Linked DNA regions of Macaca fascicularis. The protein of the gene in region 1 interacts with the protein of each later gene in a biochemical or structural test. Links are inferred from orthologs where the notes say so. Each region holds a gene or a part of one and is shown in the gene's direction. Other genes may lie near its edges.

What was found.
Region 2: the proteins of LEF1 (region 1) and TLE1 form a complex in vitro, tested with the Homo sapiens proteins (2 studies listed by BioGRID and IntAct, with this or other methods). The link is inferred for Macaca fascicularis from reciprocal best matches to the Homo sapiens genes LEF1 and TLE1.

Annotation. Positions count from the first base shown.
Region 1 is NC_088379.1:113,777,897-113,788,535, reverse strand, and holds the start of LEF1 (lymphoid enhancer-binding factor 1), read left to right. Parts: upstream 1-5,591; 5' UTR 5,592-6,760; coding exon 6,761-6,973; intron 6,974-7,447; exon of another isoform or gene 7,448-8,258; coding exon of another isoform or gene 8,259-8,267; intron 8,268-9,399; coding exon 9,400-9,466; intron 9,467-10,639. UniProt on the Homo sapiens protein: Transcription factor that binds DNA in a sequence-specific manner. Participates in the Wnt signaling pathway. Activates transcription of target genes in the presence of CTNNB1 and EP300.
Region 2 is NC_088389.1:112,228,409-112,238,507, reverse strand, and holds part of TLE1 (transducin-like enhancer protein 1), read left to right. Parts: intron 1-1,018; coding exon 1,019-1,268; intron 1,269-3,243; coding exon 3,244-3,491; coding exon of another isoform or gene 3,492-3,495; intron 3,496-6,470; coding exon 6,471-6,618; intron 6,619-8,991; coding exon 8,992-9,142; intron 9,143-10,099. UniProt on the Homo sapiens protein: Transcriptional corepressor that binds to a number of transcription factors. Inhibits NF-kappa-B-regulated gene expression. Inhibits the transcriptional activation mediated by FOXA2, and by CTNNB1 and TCF family members in Wnt signaling.

The DNA of each region.
Region 1 (10,639 bases):
CACGAGAGTGTAACACTGTCCCCATTTGCTCCTGTGGTAAGGGTTCCTAGGGCTTCAGAAGTTTTTGATTTTGCAACTTAACAGGTCCCCTTAAAAGGATCGTCTTTGCTTCATGGACTAATAATACCTTACATTTGTACATACTTTCACATGCATTATCTCACTTAATAGTACGGTATTATATCCATTTTTCAGAGAGGAAACAGACTTTGGGAGAGGTTAAATGGCTTGCCTGAGGTCACCAATGGCATGAGAGGGAGTGGCAGGGCCCATCTCCAGCCCAGGATTTCTGACTTTTCGCATCACAGTATTTCAAAGCTGTCTCTTTATTTTAGTTACTTCCATAACAACAGAAGTGAAGGGACCTATAGTTTTTTAACCTTAAAAACACAAAGGTGTCTGATTGAGTGGCCTGTAAGAAAAGATCTCTGCAGTCTATCGACGAGAGGGTTTCAAATTATAGGGATCAACTGTGATAGTGAGTACTTTGATAAAAATATTAACATTGGTTTTCCAGAATCTAACTTCTGTGAAAGAAAACTATACGGTGCACCATATCATGTGTAGAAAAAAAGGACCACTATACACAACGAACATATCCACACGTGTTGCGTCAACGTTCTCTTCCCAAATGTGGCCGCAGAAGAAAGTGCGAAGCGTGCTGAAATAAGACAATATTTACGACTGAAGAAATTCGGCTTCACATACCAGTAATTATGAACAAGACATTTTCCCTAATAAAAGTACTCCAAAACGAAATATAGAGAAACTGTTTCCCTATGTTCTCTTTATTTCATTCCATGTGCTCAAGAATGGTCACAGAAAGAGGCAAAGGGAGCAGAGAGAGAAAGAAAGAGAGCTATATAGAGAGCCGGCCTCTGCTGAGGGTTGGTTTTGCTTTAGAAACTGGAATGTGTCCAGGCTTGATTTTTATTTTCAATTCACATTTCAGATCCAGCTCCCCAAACTCTTTGATCTTTCTCCCTGTCTCCTTACCCGGAAGAGAACCCTTGGCCTTCTCAGCTGGGAGCTGGGAGCACACGTGGAAAGACTGGCTCGGATCCATATTCTTGCCAAATTTAGTCACACAAAGGGGCCTGCGAGGGAAAAAAGAAAGGATGAAAGCGGCAGCCGCCGCGACTTCAAAGGCCGCGCCGCCGCGCCGGGCCCTGCGCAGGCGCCGCCCTCAGCCGATATAAGGCGCGACTCGCGCGCGCGGGCGGCCTTTCCGCGCGCGTCCCCGACCCGGGGGGCGGGCCGAGGGACAAGGAGGGACTGGGCGAGGAGGGCCCAGGGCTGGACGCCGCGGCCGTGCTACCCGCCGGCCTTCCGAGGCCGGTCCCCGTGCCAAGTTCAGGCGCCTGAGAAAAGTTTTTCAGAAAGGAGGGACAAGAATGTCACGTCCTGCCCACGAAATGAGCAGTCCTGTGGCCCGCAAAATGACTCCAGCTCCCACCTCCATTCCTGCTCCATTCTAGGCATTCCCCATGCGTGGGAGCCCGGGTTCCCGTCGCGGAGAGCAGCCCAGCGACGAGGGCGCGTGGCCGGGCCCTGTCTGGCTCGTTCGGCTCCCCTGTGCCTGCCTTGCGTTGCTGGTTCCCGTGCGCTCTCCTACCGGCGCGATTCCTCGCCCTCTTGGGCAGCCTTAGGACGTGTACCCTCGCCTCCCAGCTGGCAGAGGGGCGGCCTGCAGAGCGGGGTGGGTTGCGCCCCTTGCCCGCGGGCCGCGGGAGGAGGCGGCCCTCTGGACAGCCGCGCCCGGGACCCCCACCCAGCGAGGCAGGGACGCGGGGCTCGGCCTGCACTGGCCCAGCGCGGGGAAAGCCGCAGGAGGGCGGGAGGGGTGGCGGACCCCGCTCGCTCGAGCCCCGCGAGGCTGCGCCGAGCTGCAGACGCCAACGGGCGCCGGCCCCGCGGAAGCCCGACGTCCGCAGGCGGCCGGATTTGGGAACGACTTTTTCACGGTCCCACGAGTTCCCAGATACCCCGGAGGGTGGGGGGTTGAGTTTGTTTGTCTTTAGGAGGCGGCAAGAAGAAGCGGAAGAACCCTTGGGACACAAACTGCCATTTCCCTCGCCCCCCTTCTCTCCTTTTCTGCGAGGTCCGTTAAACTGAAGATGCCCCACAGCTTTCGTCTCCAGGCGAAGACTGGGTGGGAATTCGAGGGGGTCGGAGTTCCGCCTCTGGAGTCACATTATTCGTTTTCTAGCCCTTCTCCTCGGCTCCTGAGTATCCTCTTCCGTAGGCCCCGCCACCTCCTTCCTTTGGGATCCCACCAAAGTTGTAGCTGGGAGAGAGTCCAGGCCACACAAAGGGGAAGACCTGGAGCCTGGGCGGGGGTTAGGACCGAGGGGGCGGAGAGGACTCGAGGGGCACCGTGCTTTTCTCTCGTCCTTGTAATTAAGGACTCACTGGACTGTCTGTAGCCGACTCGAGTTGGCAACAAAATCGCCGGGGGGGAGGGGTTTTCTGGTGTGAGTGGGGGTCACTCCTCTGGCTCTGCTGCCTGCTCCCGAGCTTGACTGGGCTCCGCTTACCCCTTGGGCAGCGAGGCCGTCTCTTCTCCCCGGCTCCTCTGTTCTTGTGCGGGGTGGGCGCCTCGCCCCCCACGCACAGTTGAGGCGACGGCGCCCGATGTAGAAGGAAGTGTTGATATAAAACAAGTTTGCTCCCAAACTAAACCCAAACCAAGCAAAGCCACCAGGAGGGGAAAAACCAGCAGCAATCCAGCCAGCCCCTAGCAATTGTTTTCACGGTCGGAATTAAATCACATCAAAACGCCCCCTGAAACCCACATCCTGAAGGAGTGAACCTACAACAGCCAACCTCCTCCAGTCGTTCGCTCGAGTTCACACCAACAACTTGCCTCTAACATCCGAGTGAAGGGGGCGGCGGGCGGCGGGTGCCTCTCCCGCACCGCACCCACCACATCCCGGACCTGGGATCCCACTCGCACCCGAAGAGGCGGCTGCTTATGTTAATACCAGCCCCCACACGAATTAGACAAGACCGCCCGGTGACAGAATTGCCTATGCCAGAAACTACACTGAATCCGTAAGGGAGGGGGAAGAACGTCTTCCCCGGGTTACTTCGCCCGTCCTGCGTCCTCCTGCTTTTTCCAAAAGAAAGACTTCACGTGGAAGTGTCAACCTCTCTCCCAAACGAAGCTTCACAAATTTGGGGCGCATGGATTTTACTAAAGCCCCTTCTAAGTGCTGCTCATCAGAAGATTTACAACAATCCTAAAGACAATCAGCTAACACCAGTTACACCACTGTAAGGAAAACAGTCACGCAAATAGAGCAAGGTGCTGGGTTATTTCGTTAGAAACAATGTTTTCAATGGACAGGGTCACAGTAAAATACCAAACGCAGCCACCTACCCTTGGCCCTTCAAGTAAACAGTTTCCACTATTGTTCTAAAAATTCGCATCTTCTTGAGCTTCTACCCTTCAGGAAACCTGGAGCATAGGCTCCAAATGGCTCGGGGAATCCAGAGAGTTAACATGAAGGAGAAAGTGGCATCTGAATTAGTTTCAGCACTTCAACAGCGGGGGGAATGTAAGAGTCATCATTTAATCTCTCTTTGGCTTCCAGAAACTACCCCCTAGCCATTTCTGTATTCCTCCCTCCCCCTCCTGAGGGTTTGATGAAAAGGAACCTCTAACTCTGCTTTGGTGAAACTGCATTTTCTAGTTGTTTTCCTATTGGTCAAATTGGTGCAGTTATGGGAGGACTTTTGACTTTATTTTCCCATATGTCTTTTAAGAATGGGGCTATAAATGTCTGACACAGCTATATATTCACCTCTCTGGGACACTCACACTGGTGCATAACTTTAAGGGAAGTGACATACCACCATCATCCAAAAACAAAAATTGGGTTTCTCACACACTGTAGCAGAATATACTCCTTTTCTTCTCTTGAGGCATAGCATTGTCAGCTATTAAAAGTGGATTTAATGTTTTACTTTTCGTGGATTCCTTCACCAACCCCTTAATTTTAATCCAATCTCCCAGATAGAATTTACATGTGACTACTGGCCATATTCTAGGGACCAACTGGATCCTTCGTAAAGTTTTAAAAATTGCTTCCTAGTAAATTCTCATTCCCAAGAAGTAGTAGTTATTAGTAGGTGAAGTTTTAAGTGCTCACTTAGATACAGCATTGTTAAAATCTTTACCCATTCAATATTCAGCAGCCTGAAATTTCACCTTTAGGAAAATAAGAGGAATCTTTGCTAGACCATTCCTATATAACAGAGCAAAATCTGATTCTGTAGTGTTTTCCTTATTTTCAATTTAAGGGAGATGAAGATACATTTCTTTATGTCCTTTGTTTACTGTTCTGAAGTTTTACAGATGGCTACTGTATTGGATATAATAATTTTGCCTAGATTTTTAACAGAGGGGGTTTGAGAACCAAGGGACAAAATGTAATGTGTTTTCAAACTTCAGCTTCCCTTCTGCTGTAACTTTCACAAAGTATCTCCTGAAAACTCCTGTCTTTGTACAAAATGCATCAAAGACATAGTGGAGACTGGGGAATTTTTGAGGTTGTATTCGGATTTGCATCTTCAAGGGTTCCTTTCAGCTCGCAGTCCAAGGTGCCAGGGACTACCCCGTCCTCCCTCCCTCTTTTGGCTTTGCTCTCCCGAGTCCTTTTGCCTTCTCTTCCCCCTTCTTGGATTATCTTTTCATTCTCGATGAGGTTCCCACACACTGCGGTGTGTGTCTTTGAAAACCCACGAGAGACCTAGCACAACTCTCCGTACATCCCGTGGTGAGGACAGAATGAAAGAGATATTGTTTAAAAAGCAATAATTAAAATCTAGTCTTCAGTTCCTTCTTCCTCGTCATATTTTTTCTCGGTAAGCCTGGAGATTTTATTTTCACTAGCGTGTTCCCTTGTTTCCAAAGAGCGTGTGTATGATATTATATTCGGGAAAGCCACAACTCTCTTTTCCTTGTCCTTCTGTTCTCTCTTAATAGTTGAGCAATGTCTGTTATATTTTTCCCTTTTCCTTCTTTTCTCAGTCCCAGATTCCCGCCTCTCCCCACTGTCAGAGCATCTATCAATGTGGTGTCGATCACAGCGGCGGCGGCTTTCTCTTTCATCTTCCTCCCCCGGCCAGAGCGAGGGAGGGAGAGTGGGAGGCGTCAAGGAGGTAGGGGAGAGACTGGCAGAGGAAAAGGAGTGGGTGGGTGGGGGCCAAGAAAATAGATACTTAGATGATGAAGTCAAGCCATTGCGGCAATGTTTCTTGTCAATTTCACGCGGGCAAAGCGTGCCTCTCGGTGGGTTATAAGCAGCGCCGGGTCATTCCTTCTCTCGCCAAGTTGCCTGATCCTTCCCTCCAGGCGCGCGCGCACACACACACTCACACACCCCAAAACCAATACTCGTCCTACAGGATCTGGGAAAAGAAAAAGAAAAAAAAGCCCTCAATCACCACCTCCTTCTCGCCGACTCCCCCTCACCCCCCGCCTCCCCTCCAGCGGGCAGCCAAGGAGAGCTGGAGGCGGGGGAGGGGAGAGGGAGGAGAAGCGACGCAAGTGGGTAGCTTTTCAGCGCCGGCTAGGCGCGGGAGGAGGAGAAGCAGTGGGGAGGCGCAGCAGCTCACCTGCGGGGCAGGGCGCGGAGGAGGGACCCGGGCTGCGCGCTCTCGGGCCGAAGAACCAGGACGCGCCCGGAGCCTCGCACGCGGCCAAGCTCGGGGTGTCCCCTCCCCTCGGCTGGGCGAACCCAAGGGGCGCAGCTCTTTGCTTTGACAGAGCTGGCCGACGGAGGCGTGCAGATCCGCGAGCCGGCTAGCCAAGCTGAGAAATTCGAGCCGGGAACAAAGAGGGGTCGGGCTGAGTGTGTGTGTCGGCTCGAGCTCCGGGCAGAAGCATTTGGGCCCGAGGTCCCCGCTGTGACTACCCGAGACTCCGCCGTGCCCTCCACTGCGGAGTCCCCGCGCTTGCCGGCAAAAACTTTATTCTTGGCAAACTTCTCTTTCTCTTCCCCGCCTCCTCGGCCCCCACCTTCTCCTCCTCCTCCTTCTCTAGCAGATTAAATGAGCCTCGAGAAGGAAAACCGAAGCGAAAGGGAAGAAAATAAGAAGCTCTAAAACGGACATCTCCAGCGTGGGTGGCTCTTTTTTCTTTTTCTTTTTTCCCACCCTTCAGGAAGTGGACGTTTCGTTATCTTCTGATCCTTGCACCTTCTTTGCTGGGGCAAACGGGGGCTTTTTGCCCAGACCCCCTCTCTTTTCTCGGCAAACAAACTACTAAGTCGGCATCCGGGGTAACTACAGTGGAGAGGGTGTCCGCGGAGACGCGCCGCCGGACCCTCCTCTGCACTTTGGAGAGTGGTGCTCCCTCCAGAACCGGCGTCCTCCGCGCGCAAATCCCGGCGACGCGGGGGGCGTGGGGTGGCCGCCGGGGCAGCCTAGCCTAGCGCGCGCCGCGCAGACGCCCCCGGAGGCGCCAGCTACCGCGGCCCTCGCCGCCCAGTGCCCTTCGGCCTCGGGGGCGGGCGCCGGCGTCGGTCTCCGCGAAGCGGGAAAGCGCGGCGGCCGCCGGGATTCGGGCGCCGCGGCAGCTGCTCCGGCTGCCGGCCGGCGGCCCCGCGCTCACCCGCCCCGCTTCCGCCTGCTGTCCTCCTGTACGAACCCTTCCAACTCTCCTTTCCTCCCCCACCCTTGAGTTACCCCTCTGTCTTTCCTGCTGTTGCCGCGGGTGCTCCCACAGCGGAGCGGAGATTACAGAGCCGCCGGGATGCCCCAACTCTCCGGAGGAGGTGGCGGCGGCGGGGGGGACCCGGAACTCTGCGCCACTGACGAGATGATCCCCTTCAAGGACGAGGGCGATCCTCAGAAGGAAAAGATCTTCGCCGAGATCAGTCACCCTGAAGAGGAAGGCGATTTAGCTGACATCAAGTCCTCCTTGGTGAACGAGTCTGAAATCATCCCAGCCAGCAACGGACACGAGGTGAGCGGGCCGCTGCCCCAGTTCCGAGAGGCGTGGCGGGTCCCTGGGAAACGCAGAGAGGGAGGAAGGGAGGGAAGGCGCCCGGCCGAGGGTCCCGAGTAGATCCCTCGTTTGTTTTGGGGTGTGTGCGTAGCTGGGGCCCCGGTCCGCATTGCATATATGTGTGTGTGTGTGTGTGTGTGTGTGTGTGTGTGTGTGTGTGTGTGTGTAGAATGGGAGGTAGAGGGGCAGGGAAACTTATTCCAACTGGATCAGTTTAGGGGGTTCGGTGGCTGAACGGTTGGTTCGTGGGCAGGAAAACGTGCCCTTAACCCACAATGTTTCGTCTTCGGTCTTTTTGTTGGGCTGAGGAGTGCCAGGCTTTAAAGCGAGTATGGCTGAATAACGCTACTGAGAAATTCTTCCGTGGGACGGAAAACAAAGTGCACCCGCTATCTTTTGGTAGATGTCTCTGCAAAAGTGCGTTAAACCACCAGAGGCTTAGGTGGAGACGAGCAGAGCCACAGGCAGGAGGAAGGGGAGGCGGGCGTGGGCTGGGGCAGGCGGGGCCGTCCCTACCACCGCCGAGACCGGCCGCAGGGAGCCGGCCGGCCTAGGGGGCGCGCGCCCGGGCTGCGGGGGCGGTGCGGGGTTCAGTCCCTGCGGCCCCAGAGCCTGGGCTGGCAGCTGGGAGCTGTGGGTGCGCCGAGCCGAGCCACCCCAAGCTGTACCGCCCCCAACTCTAGTTTTCTCCAACCGCCATCACTTGGAAACAAACCCACAACTTTTATTTGGGGTTTGGGACCGGATCAGGCCTTAAATCTATGTAAAAGAAAGGCGGAGAAGCGGCGGAAGCCGGACACTAGTCCGGCAGGGCGGAAGGCGCTTTATCGGGTCTTCTGGTCCGCTGCGGGCAATAGAGCTGGTAACCTGAGTAGAGTAAATAGAGACACGTGGGTGCTGGCTGGAGAAAGCGCGGAGCGGGGCCGCGCTGGAGGGCTGTTTGAAGCCTAGTCCAGAGCTGGTAGGGGGCGGATGGACCCTGATACCCGACACTCCACTGGTCACTCTTGTTCCACAACTGGGAAACCTTTCTCTGGAGGAAATCCGGTAGAAAAGTCCTGACACCCGAATGATTTAACCAACGCCTTTTCCCTCCAAAGAAACTTGAAGGATATACCTTTTTTTTTCCCTTAAATGGCATCTTTCTACCCCCAAAAAGAAAGTGTGTGGTTTTGAGGGCGGGGACATTTTGGGTTTTAAACAGCGCGTTTAAGAACATCTCAGATCTGCCTTCTCTATCCCAATGGCAGAGGTGAGTACGCATTTTGAAAGGCTGGGGGCCTGCGTTCAGAGAACAGAAGGGTGTTCTTTACCCGTTGAATCCAGTTTGAGCGGGATGGGGGCGGGAGTAGGGTGCACCTAACCCCGCGTAAAAGATTTGTGACTATTGTCTGTGCTAGGAAAAGGAGGTCAAAGGGAGGACACACGTTCCGAGAACCAAACAACATCCAAAACACAGGCTTTTTGCCAAACTCTCCTATTTGTAGAGCAGCCTCTTTTTCTACCCATTTTGCTAGTCCTGTCTTAGTCCGTAGATAATTTTGCCACCCACTTCATATTCTCCCCACTTTTCTGGTCTGGGTGAAGGACCCTGCGTTCGAATCCGAGCACTCGGGTGTTAAAGCGTTACTCTTCGCTGGGTGTTAAGTGGGCATGAGGCCTGAGGGTGAAGGAGTAATACCACTGATTTGCACGTGGTTGAGTCTGTCTGGGTGGATGGTGATTACCAAAACTGATATCAACTGGGCTACTTTTTAGATGTCTATAACCTGACTCTCTAATTTTCCTCCCTTTAACCACAGAATCGTTCTACTTTTGTAAGCCTGCGCTCAGCCAGCCATAGTAGGTTATAAGCTCGAGTGGAGCTTCTACTGAAACTGCGCTCAGGGCACTTGCCTTAAGGACTCATCTGAGTGGTTGGCTTGTTTATGTTTAAATGTCATTTTCAGTTGCAAAATGATATTTCAGCCTTCTTTTTATCAGATCTGATTGAAGTGAACAGTGGTTGAAGAGGCTATCAAAACCATCAACCCCATTAACTCCTACTCCTTTAATAGTAGTCATCCAGGGAGCCTTGATATGGCTTAATAAACAGCAGTCAGAACAGCATGTGGATCATTCCCAAATTTAACTGTATTTTTATTGGTGTTATTATTTATATGTTTTTGCTCTCGGGTGGATAATAATCACTCAAAAATACATGTTGACAAGAAAAAGATTTTGCAGTACTAAACACTAACTTATGTCTGTTTCTCAGAGTAATAAAACAGAGTTGCCCCTAAAAACCTTCCTTTGAATTACCAGTGCACACACAATTGTATCATTATTGTCACAAACTCTAAGGTGATTTTCTTTCTTTTGGGTGTGGGGATTCATGATGTTAGGTGGCCAGACAAGCACAAACCTCTCAGGAGCCCTACCACGACAAGGCCAGAGAACACCCCGATGACGGTAAGACACCCATTCTACTTCTTCTGACTTTAGCAGATAAGGTGTGCAATTTGTTATTTTTGAATTCAAGAAACTGGGACTAGGTCAGACTATGCCCACTATTTTAATAAAATGGTAAAGAAAACGCAGGAAACTTATGGCTTACCTCTAATGTATGTTACGTAATTTAAAAAGTGTTTTTGAATGAGTTAGGGACCTTTGGATTTCAAGTGGGTTCCAGATTCTTTGGGGAAGAGGGAATGTCTATAATGAGTTTTTCTCTTCCTCATCTTACTTTAAGTTCTAATTAGCTTAGATCTTTAGTATTTTTAATATATTATTAAGAAGAATGACAGTATATATTGATTTGTTTTCCAACCAGAATAGTTTTGAGTGGATTTTCACTTGCAAAATTGCTGTTTCTTGTTCCTTATTACAGTGAAAAGGCGCTCAGTAAATGAGCAGAGCAGAATCTAACTTGTAAAAACATAAAACTTATAATTAGGAATGTGCATATCAGAGATGATACACTTTCTCCGTATTTCTGATTCTTACTAAAAGCTTTAAAATTACATACATATGTATTTAGACTTAAGGAGAATTCCTTGTGACTTTAAAAGAATGAAGTCACCTTAGGGTTTCCTTGTCAGCCTGTCTGTTCTCCATTAATTACTTAACAATTGGCCTAACTGAAATGAAGTGTTTTTACATACAAGATGTTAACCAGGAGCAGGGAAGAGAGTTATATATTAGGCTTCTTCCTCAGCTACAAAATAGTTACACAGATTAACAAGAAGAAATATACATATTGAACAGAAATTTTTTGGCAAAATGATCTAAGTGTAGCACGTGAAATTAAACCTCCCAGAGTTAATCCTTTATAAATTTGGATAGTTGCCTATATACTAGATAACAACTCTTGCAGTAGAATCTAGAATTTTTCTGGAAATCTACAAGCACAGGTAGAATTTTTGAGTTTGTCTGCAAGGCAAAACATAACTTCACGTGTATAAATCTGTATGTGTGTGTAGCTAGATGGCTTAATATATTTATATTACAGTTTTAGATTTGTGTGTGTTCTGTATTTTTTAGTCCAGTTTGTTAGTGTTAGAACAAATTAAGTTAGATGGATAACACTTAGTTTTGTAAAAACATCAGTTAATAGTGGAAGAACTGTTTGAACCACATGTTTTT
Region 2 (10,099 bases), on another chromosome or scaffold:
ATTGATGGGCATTTGGGTTGGTTCCACATCTTTGCTATCCAGCAATTGATTTCTGTCTTTGAAATCAACCTCTGGGCCATAGGAGCACCAGTCATCCCTCTTAGCTCAGGCAGTGGGAAGGAAGAAGAGAAGAGGGCAGGTATGCTCCCTCCCTATTTATTTTTTTAGAGCAGTTATGGGTTCCAGGCAAAATAGAGTGGAAAGTTACAGAAGAGTTCCCATATTCCCCATCCCTCTCCTCTCTTTCAAGTTCAGAACTTCCTCAATGCCATCCAGCAGCTTCTTCTTAGACCTTATTGGTCAGAACAGAGGCACGCTGGGCTAAAGGAGAGTGGGGAAGAGTAGTTTTTTTAGCTGGGCACTTTGCTGCCTTATATAATGGCGTTCCTGACCAACATAGGCAAGGAAGATTGTTGAGTAGGAAACCTAAAATCCTGTTTAAAGCCATATAAGATAATCTCTTATTTTCTCTTCCTTAAGCAAAAGAAAGTTGAAGTCCAAACCATAAACTGGTATTTTTAGAAAGCTGTTTTTTGGGGTGGGGGGGTTGTTTTTGCTATTAAAATACACTATCTACTCTGTTTAATTATTATTAGTTCTTAAGGGCTTCATCTTTAGCAGGGAAAATAATCATTTAAAATTATACTAAGAAATCATAAAATTACACAAGATACATGGAAGGAGGTATTTTATGTTCATTTGGAAGCGCGTTAAGTGTTTTATAAGGAGATTTGAGGGAATGCTTTATAGAATGGATAAGAACGATTTAAATACCTTAAAAAAATTTTAAATACAGTTCTATGTATATGTCATTTGGTACACGCTAGATTTCTGCTATTAATTATTTTAAATTTGCACCATCAGTAAATACTTCAACTTGTATTGTTTTGAAAGGAAAATATACAAGAGAATCTTTCCTTTTTTTCATCGTTTTCGTAGTCGTAGCATGTTGCCGAGGTAATGACTGCTTCCTCTGTCAATGTGTTTTCTGTCTTCTCTCCATTCGTTTTTCCAAAAGTGCGTACTCCTTCCACGTTACCGCAGACGGTCAGATGCAGCCTGTCCCTTTTCCCCCCGACGCCCTCATCGGACCCGGAATCCCCCGGCATGCTCGCCAGATCAACACCCTCAACCACGGGGAGGTGGTGTGCGCGGTGACCATCAGCAACCCCACGAGACACGTGTACACAGGCGGGAAGGGCTGCGTCAAGGTCTGGGACATCAGCCACCCTGGCAATAAGAGTCCTGTCTCCCAGCTCGACTGTCTGGTGAGTGGACAGGAACTGGTGCACAAGGGCAATTTCTCCCTGGAGATTCAATAAGGAAATAGCTGTGTGGGCCTGGGTTTTATTCCCATTATGAGGAAATAGAAGCCCCTTCTGTTTCCTGTGTTGGGTATTTAACCCCCTCGGCCCCCCGTTTAAATGCGAAGGTTTCATTTGTTGCTGTTGCACTGGCTAAATCCCAGAGTTGATGGATTTCTTTTTATAAAATATTTTACACTGGTTTACAGAGGCTCTCCTTGTGTATGGATGTACATTACAAAAGGGGGTTTCCCATTTAATGGACAAAAGCACAACTTGGCCTGGACTCTGGTCCCTGCCATCCACTCAGTTTTTAATTTCCCTTTAGCCTTTAGATAAATATAGAATAGTAAATTTTTTTTTTTTTTTTTTGAGACGGAGTCTCGCTCTGTCGCCCAGGCTGGAGTGCAGTGGCCGGATCTCAGCTCACTGCAAGCTCCGCCTCCCGGGTTCACGCCATTCTCCTGCCTCAGCCTCCCGAGTAGCTGGGACTACAGGCGCCCGCCGCCTCGCCCGGCTAATTTTTTGTATTTTTTAGTAGAGACGGGGTTTCACCATGTTAGCCAGGATGGTCTAAATCTCCTGACCTCGTGATCCGCCCGTCTCGGCCTCCCAAAGTGCTGGGATTACAGGCTTGAGCCACCGCGCACGGCCGAATAGTAAATATTTGATAACATGGCATAAAAACCATTCTGAACAGGGTAAGGTCTGTGTTTTTAAGGGAGACCTGAGAGAGCTGGTTAGGTTTTATGACCTTCACTTCAGGAAAGGGTTAAAGGCTGTCACTGCAAAGACCGGGGGCAGCCATCAACAAAATAGAGCGGTGAGAATGCGTTCCCAGAGTTCCTAAGCCATGTCCGCTCAGAGCCTGAGAATACCATTTTGCATTTTTCAGGGACATAAAACATGTTGGGACATGTTCCAGTCTCTAAACCATAACCCCAGGATTTACAGAGCACATACCGCTGGCCTTAAGCAGACTCCGAACTGCCCTGCCCTGCCATGCCCTGGCATGGGGTCTGCCTGTGCTCTGCGGTTGCAGATGGTGCGGTGTACCACTGCCTGCCTGGAAAATTGTAAGGATTCCGGAGAGAGTGTTTCCAGAAAGCTGAGTGGCAGTGTTTTTGAAACACAGACTTGTGTTTAGAGTAGTTATTAGTGCCTTTTTTAAAAAAACAAATAACTTCAAAATGTCTTCATTCATGAAACTTATATTTAAATATGGCCCAACATTCTATAGCAGTGGGAATATCCTTTGTTGAAGTCACGTGTCTAAGGTTTCTTTAATCTTTGAAAGACAGTCCATCGTGAAAAGCACTTAAGCGAACTTTAGCCATATCTGCATCTTTCAGGGGTTGATCATATGAGGGCCCCCCACCCCCACCCCCTTCATATGTGTTGGTTTTGATGGCAAGGTGCCTACTTTTATCAGGTTCTTTGGCCTTTGCATTGAGGGGCTTAGATATAATAGCAGCCACATGACAACTTGAGAAAGCAGCTTTGGTAAGTTATTAGCAAGAATCCCTCTGACTAATGAAGTAATGTGCTCAGCATAACGAAGACCAAAACATAGACGGGGGCCTGCAGTGTCCAAGCAGTAAATGATGCAGGGTGATGAGGCAGATGTATAAACGAGCTTGGAAAAGTGGTTTCTTCTCGGGGAACTGTGTGTACACCTGGACCTCATACCTAGATAGTTTCAGCTCTGTGATGCAGGACACCAGAAACAGTTATCTAAGCTCCTGTGAATTTGTTTTGTTTACTGTTTTGAAGGAGACAGTTGTGCTTGGACCCCAATCTTGACTAGAGATCTCTTGCTCTGTTAGAGTGTCCGTGAAATGTCACTCTTTAACTCAAAAAACCAAGACAGCCATTAGAGAACATGGTGCTATGATTGCTCGGTAATTCATTGTAGCAATGAATTCTGTTTATTTTACAGAACAGAGACAATTATATCCGTTCCTGTAAATTGCTACCTGATGGCTGCACTCTCATAGTGGGAGGGGAAGCCAGTACTTTGTCCATTTGGGACCTGGCAGCTCCGACCCCACGCATCAAGGCGGAGCTGACATCCTCGGCCCCCGCCTGCTACGCCCTGGCCATCAGCCCCGATTCCAAGGTCTGCTTCTCATGCTGCAGCGACGGCAACATCGCTGTGTGGGATCTGCACAACCAGACACTAGTGAGGTGAGCAAAGATGGTCGTCTAAGGAGGGGTTCCCTTCTTGAGCAGCTGGGCCTATTACCTCTGCTTCTCTCTGGCTGCCCGCAGCCTGCACAGTAAGATCCTCTTGAATGCCAGGCATGGGGTTAGATGATGGGGGAACAAAGACAACCGTGTTGCTGCCTTTGGGGGGCTTACAGTCTTGCTACCATGCCTGGGGTCACTGAGACGTTCTATCTCCTTATAGATAGTCTGTATATCCTATAGTCTGTATGTCAGCCCGCATACAGACTCCAAACTTGTTCAAAAAATATTTCTGGCTTTTGCCAAGGGGTGGCCTAATGTGAATTACACGGCAGCACAAAGGGCCCTTGCTACTAGATGTTTTGGGCTTTGGCTAGAACTTGGTGCAGACAAGAGCCAACTGATAAAAGATAACAGAAAATCAACAAGGAGACATGAGAAGAGCAGATTCCATGAATTTCACCCACAAAATGGTTTTAAAGTATCTCAATAATGAAATAGGAGACCTGCCCAGGGGTGGTTCCACTCAGGAGCCCGCAGGGTTTTACCTCGCGTCCTGGCATTGGCCCTGTCCCCTTAGCAGCAGCTGCAGTTCTGGTACCCTTGTGTCTCTCCTCAGCTCCCCCACCAAATGCCCCCTTCAGAAGTCAGTGCTCACACCAGAACTGTTCTCACAAAGTCTTTTTAAAGTAAGCACGAATGAAACATGAAAGGTAAAATGAAGCACGTGTTTTACTCTTGTTTCATCTTCACTGGGAAGCCATCCCTGCGGATGGTGCAGTTTGGGGTCCATGGCTTGTTTGGTAAGTCCCCTCTTGTGCTGCCCAGAGAAGGCACGGGCTCCAGAAATCATCATGACAGCTCACTCTCTTCAGACCTCTGCTGTAGAAATCCATTAAGTGTCATTGAACTGGGCCCGGTCCCTGCGTGTGGGCGACAGTGCGGCAGTTATTTTCCTCTTCCGTTTGCTGAGTAGTGTAGGTGAGCAAAACGGAATAATGGAGCCAGAGCCGAACGCCCTCTCAACCTTTTATCCTAGCAAAGTGACTTGTTTTTTCTTTTTTTAAAACTCCCTAAGTAGGACTTTCAAAATATCAATTCCAAGCACTTTTCAGATATTCCTCCACTTAGTCCTAATGACACTGTCCTGCTATTTGTCCCATTTTATAGATGAAGTGCCTGAGGCTCAGAGAGGGTAAGTTACTGGCTTCAGGTTGCACAGTCGGATGTGGTGGAGTCAAGCTGGGGCCCAGGCATTCTGCTGTCTTCTCTGTGCTGTGATCCCTTGCTCCATGCCGGCTCCTGGGGAGTAAATACCTGTTGGATAGGATGGGGTAGCATCTTACAAATCTTTCTCTGGACCGCCCACAGGTGGCTAGTGGCTGCCGCCTGTAACAGGGCCATGCACAGCCTATTGCATGTCTTTGTATCCATCGTAACCCAGCACATTCTGAACAGTCATAGGATGTGCCTGAGAGTCATGCTGAAGTATATGGATGGAGGGAGGGCAGCGGGATGGGAGGCAGCCGTCAGGTACCATATGTCAGCAGAGGAACGTGTTTTCAGTCAAGGGGGAACAGCGTTTAATGAGTTAGAAAGGTCCAAAGAAGTCAGAGGGTCAAGAGATCACTGGATTTCCAGAGCGGTTTGAAGGGAAGAAAAGCAACACTTTCAGCAAGAGACGCAGCGACTGCTCCAGGCCTGGGTGTTCTGTGGGGATGTCTGGGAAGCGAGCAGAAACACTTGAGGTCCACCTGCACGGCCGCAGTAGAGGAGAGAGGACCAAGCCTGGATCCTAAAGTGCAGAAGTTGGGAATGGCTTGCAGAGAGAAGATGTTTAAAGTGATGGTTCACATCTTGGCTTAGAATTTAGGACAGTAGTGGTGCTTTTTCCTTCCCTTGCACTCTTTAAAATCCAAGCTCAGGTTAAAAGTTTGGAGCTCTATGGGAATGATAAGGTGTGGGGATCCCGGAGGAAGAAGCAGCGTGGAAACTTTCCTCTCGGTGTTGAAATTCTCACGCAGTTCTTTACTGGATCCCGCCTGGTTCCGAGGGTGGGTCTAGACTTTGTTCACCTTTTCTGGCTGCTCCCCCACCAGCTCCCTCTCAGCATGCAGAACTGAGTCCAGGATGGTCGCCATCCCTGCTGGGGCTTACAATGACCTCCCCTCAGCCGCTCTGCTCATTGCCTTGCACAGCATCTGTGCTCAGCAGATCCCTGTTAGCTGATAGTTTCTGGTGGCGATTTTTGAATGAAGCACAAGGTTCTGCTTTAAAGAACAACCTTGTGCTCAGCTTGGAGGCAGAGTCTTTCTGAGGTGCCCATGGCAATTACCTCTGTCTCTGCCCAATGCCTCTGAGGTCAGGAGGCTGGTATGCGTGACCCTTTGTCTCTGGGAGTCCAGATTTCCTAATGCAGGGCTCTTTCTAACAGAAAGCAAGGTTGAGTAAATACATGAGCTCATGCTCTGTTGGCACGTAGAGCATTGCTGTGTTGATCCACTCATGGAAACAGCAATGCTTCTGTCCACTCTGCTTGTAACGTCCCCGTTTCTTTCTCTCATGGATTCAGGCCTGCACGATTAAAGAACAGACCTTTATCTTTCCATAAGGAATACAATTGGGATTTTGTGTGTTTGTCTTTTATTTTCTATTTAACAATTCAACACTTTTCCAGAGCTGGCAAGAATTGTACCTTGCAGATGGATTTGTCAGAGTAGTGTATTTAACTTCTGGGTAGTGACCTGCACTGGCATATTCCATTTCTTTAGCACTTGGATCGTGAAAAAAAAGGAAAAACAATCAGCAGGTGCTGTGTCCCCTCCTCCTCGGGGGAAGGTTAGTTTGATCTTGCACATCAGCAGACACTGGTGGGATGACACACACACATGCACACACAGGGTCCAAAACTAACAACACAACAGTGTTTACCTTGAGCTCTGGCAGGAAATCATTATTCAATCTGGTTTGTTTTATCAGGCAATTCCAGGGCCACACAGACGGAGCCAGCTGTATTGACATTTCTAATGATGGCACCAAGCTCTGGACGGGTGGTTTGGACAACACGGTCAGGTCCTGGGACCTGCGCGAAGGGCGGCAGCTGCAGCAGCACGACTTCACCTCCCAGGTGACTGAGTGACTTCCGCTTGCCCCAGAGTCTGGGAGGTGCTGGGGTGTGTCTTCCTCCTTATACCCTCCCCGCTTACCCTAGGATGTTAGTGGCTGGACAAACAGATCAGGGCCGAATTTGAGATAACTAATTTAAAAACAACGACCACCACCTCCTCCTTCACGACCCTCCCTACTACCTTCCCCAAAACTCCTAGAGTGGTTTTTAGAATCCTGTAGATTAAGGGGTGTTCGCTGTTATATTTATATATGAGTTTGTTTAAGGGATTTGTATGGTGAGGAATATATAGTTTTCCTTCAGCAGTGTTTGATCGGTGGCACGTATTCTCACCATCTAATGTAGGAGTAGGAGATGATTTTTTTGATTCCCAAATAAATAGAGCTTGAGAAATCTGCAGAATGTCACTAGGAGTGGAGAGAAGTCACAGCCCCTCTGAAAGTTCATTTATTTCCCCTGCACCAGAGAGCTTAAAAAAATGCAGAAATACCTCAGTGATATGCATTTTATTCCTCATCCTTTAAAAAATGAACTCGTGGCTGACTAGATTTGCAGACTTTTGAAATAATATATAAATGGCAGCTTTGTAGATTGTGAAAAGTATTTTGATGTCCAGTGTCTGAGTGTAGACTTGTTTTGGAAAAAACAGTGTTTGCCGTTTTAAATGCTTTCTGGTGGTAGAATTGTTGCTTTGATCATGACTTGGCAATTTTTTTTTTTTTTTACCTTGTTTTGTAATAAAAATAATTCTACTCAGAAAACTAGGACAGAAACAGAAAACAAGCATATATACTTCTAAATTTCATATTCTGGTTAACATTTTGTTGAGTTTCTTAGAGTCTTGCTGTTTTACCTCTTTCCTAACATAAGTAGGATACAATTTTTGGTCTGCCTTTTTTGTTTTTTTTTAAACTTCTTAGAGAAATTCTCAAATACATATGAGTACAGCAAATGTCCAAGCAGTTATGAGAGTACAGAGAATTGTACAATAAACGCCACATGCCCATCACTCAGCTTTAAGTTATTTGGCCGTGTGATAACTCTTGTCCCCATCCCCAAACACTGGATTATTTTAAAGTAAATTCCAGACAGCATATCATTTTATCCATAAGCACAGTCATGCACCATATAACCTTTTGGCCAAGGACAGACCTCAAATGTGACAGTGATCCCTTAAGATTATAATACCATATTTTTCTGTACCTTTTCAATGTTTAGATATATCTGAGTGTACAAATACTTCCCATTATGCTACAGTTGCCTACAGTACTCAGTACAGTAGCATGCTGTGCAGGCTTGTAGCCTACGAGTGATAGGCTCCCCCATCTAGGTGTGTGTAAGTGCACTCTGTGAGGTTCACACAATAAAGTAACCTAATGAGGCCAGGCGCAGTGGCTCACGCCTATAATCCCAACACTTTGGGAGGCCGAGGCGGACGGATCACGAGGTCAGGAGATCGAGACCATCCTGGCTAACATGGTGAAACTCTGTCTCTACTAAAAATACAAAAAATTAGCCGGGCGTGGTGGCGGGCGCCTGTAGTCCCAGCAACTCAGGAGGCTGAGGCAGGAGAATGGCGTGAACGTGGGAGGCAGAGCTTGTAGTGAGCCGAGATCTCGTCACTGCACTCCAGTCTGGGTGACAGAGCGAGACTCCGTCTCAAAAAATAAAGAAATTAAAAGACTGGGCGCAGTGGCTCATGCCTGTAATCCCAGCACTCTGGGAGGCAGAGGTAGTTGGATCCAGGGGTCAGGAGTTCGAGACCAGCCTGGCCAATATGGTGAAACCCCGTCTCTACTAAAAATACAAAAATTAGCCAGGCGTGGTGGCTCATGCCTGGAGTCCCAGCTAGTCAGGAGGCTGAGGCAGGAGAATCACTTGAACCCAGGAGGCAGGGGTTGCAGTGAGCTGAGATCGTGCCACTGCACTCTGGCCTGGGCGACAGAGCAAAACTCCATCTCGAAAAAAATAAAAAAATAAAAAAATAAAAATAAATAAAAAACAAAATAAAGTCACCTAACGACACATTTCTCAGAACACATCTGCCTCGATAGGTGATATATGATTGTATTTCAGTTACTGTCTCGAAAAGGTAAGGCCTGCTTTAAAATGTACACATGAATGCCATTATTATTAGGAATCATTTCTTAATTTTATCCCAAAGGACAGAGGGGTTCAAATGTTTCCAGTTTCCTAAAGGTTTTGACACTTGGTTCATCTGCGTTAGATCACTTGCCCTGTGGCCCTCCCCACAGTCTGGACTCGGATGATTACCTCCGCCTATTCTTGCTCTTTCCCCCGCTTTCACATTGCGTCTTCCCTTCCTAAGTGTATCAGGCGGAATCATGAGTGAACCTGTCCTGCTCCTTGCAGATCTTCTCCCTGGGCTACTGCCCCACAGGGGAGTGGCTGGCAGTGGGCATGGAGAGCAGCAACGTGGAGGTGCTGCACGTGAACAAGCCCGACAAGTACCAGTTGCACCTGCACGAGAGCTGCGTGCTGTCCCTGAAATTTGCTTACTGTGGTGAGTTCAGCCGAAAGGAAACTGGCGGTCGTTGATGGCCCAAATGGAAAATGCTTCTTAAAAAAATATGGTAGAGATCATATCTGGAAACAGTGTTGTTCTTTGAGCAGCTGGATGCAATAATTCCATTGTTTTAATATGCCCTTCAGAGCACAGCAATGTCTGTTTCAGTTTGTTTTGCTAATTTGAGAAAAGTCAGCAGGCAATGATGTGATTGCCTAATACAAGGTTTGGACACAGGTTTGTTTCAGTGGGGGTTGGGAGATGACAATGAGTTTCCACTTTGTAGAGGGGTGGGTGGGAATTTACTGAAGAATGGGGCAGGGGCAGTGGAAGTCATGAGCTGTCCGTGATGAAGAATCCAGGGTCAGAGAAGCGGATATTTAGGTGTACCCAGACACTTAGTTACACTCTACAGTGAGGTTGAAGACGGAAGAAGTTCATGTGGAGACCCTTCTTGTGCACTGCAGATGGGCAGATACCTGTTCACAGGATGCAGAGGTGGACGGACGGACGGACGGACGGATGGACGGATGGATGGATGGATGGATGGATGGATGGATGGATGGATGAATGCCTATCACTTATTGAGCATTTTTCTTCGTGCTATATGATGTGACTGGCATTTTACTTAAGTTAGATGTTTAATCCTGTCTAGTCCCATTTTATCATGGGAAGACTGACTAAAATAGAAGACATTCTTCATTGATTCTATATTTGAGGGTTACCGTGTGTTGGATATGATGCTACTAGTCCTGTATCCAGTGACTAAGGAGGCTGACACCTCTTAGATTATACCCAAGATCACACTGATAAATCACTGAGGAGCCCAGATTTAAAACCACTGTTCATGTCACGGACCAGTCCCTTAGGGCATGATAGTTCATACATTAAAAATGTTCTTAGTTTGATTCAGTCCCAGTTGCTAATTGTATAAGTAGGAATTTTAACCTTGTG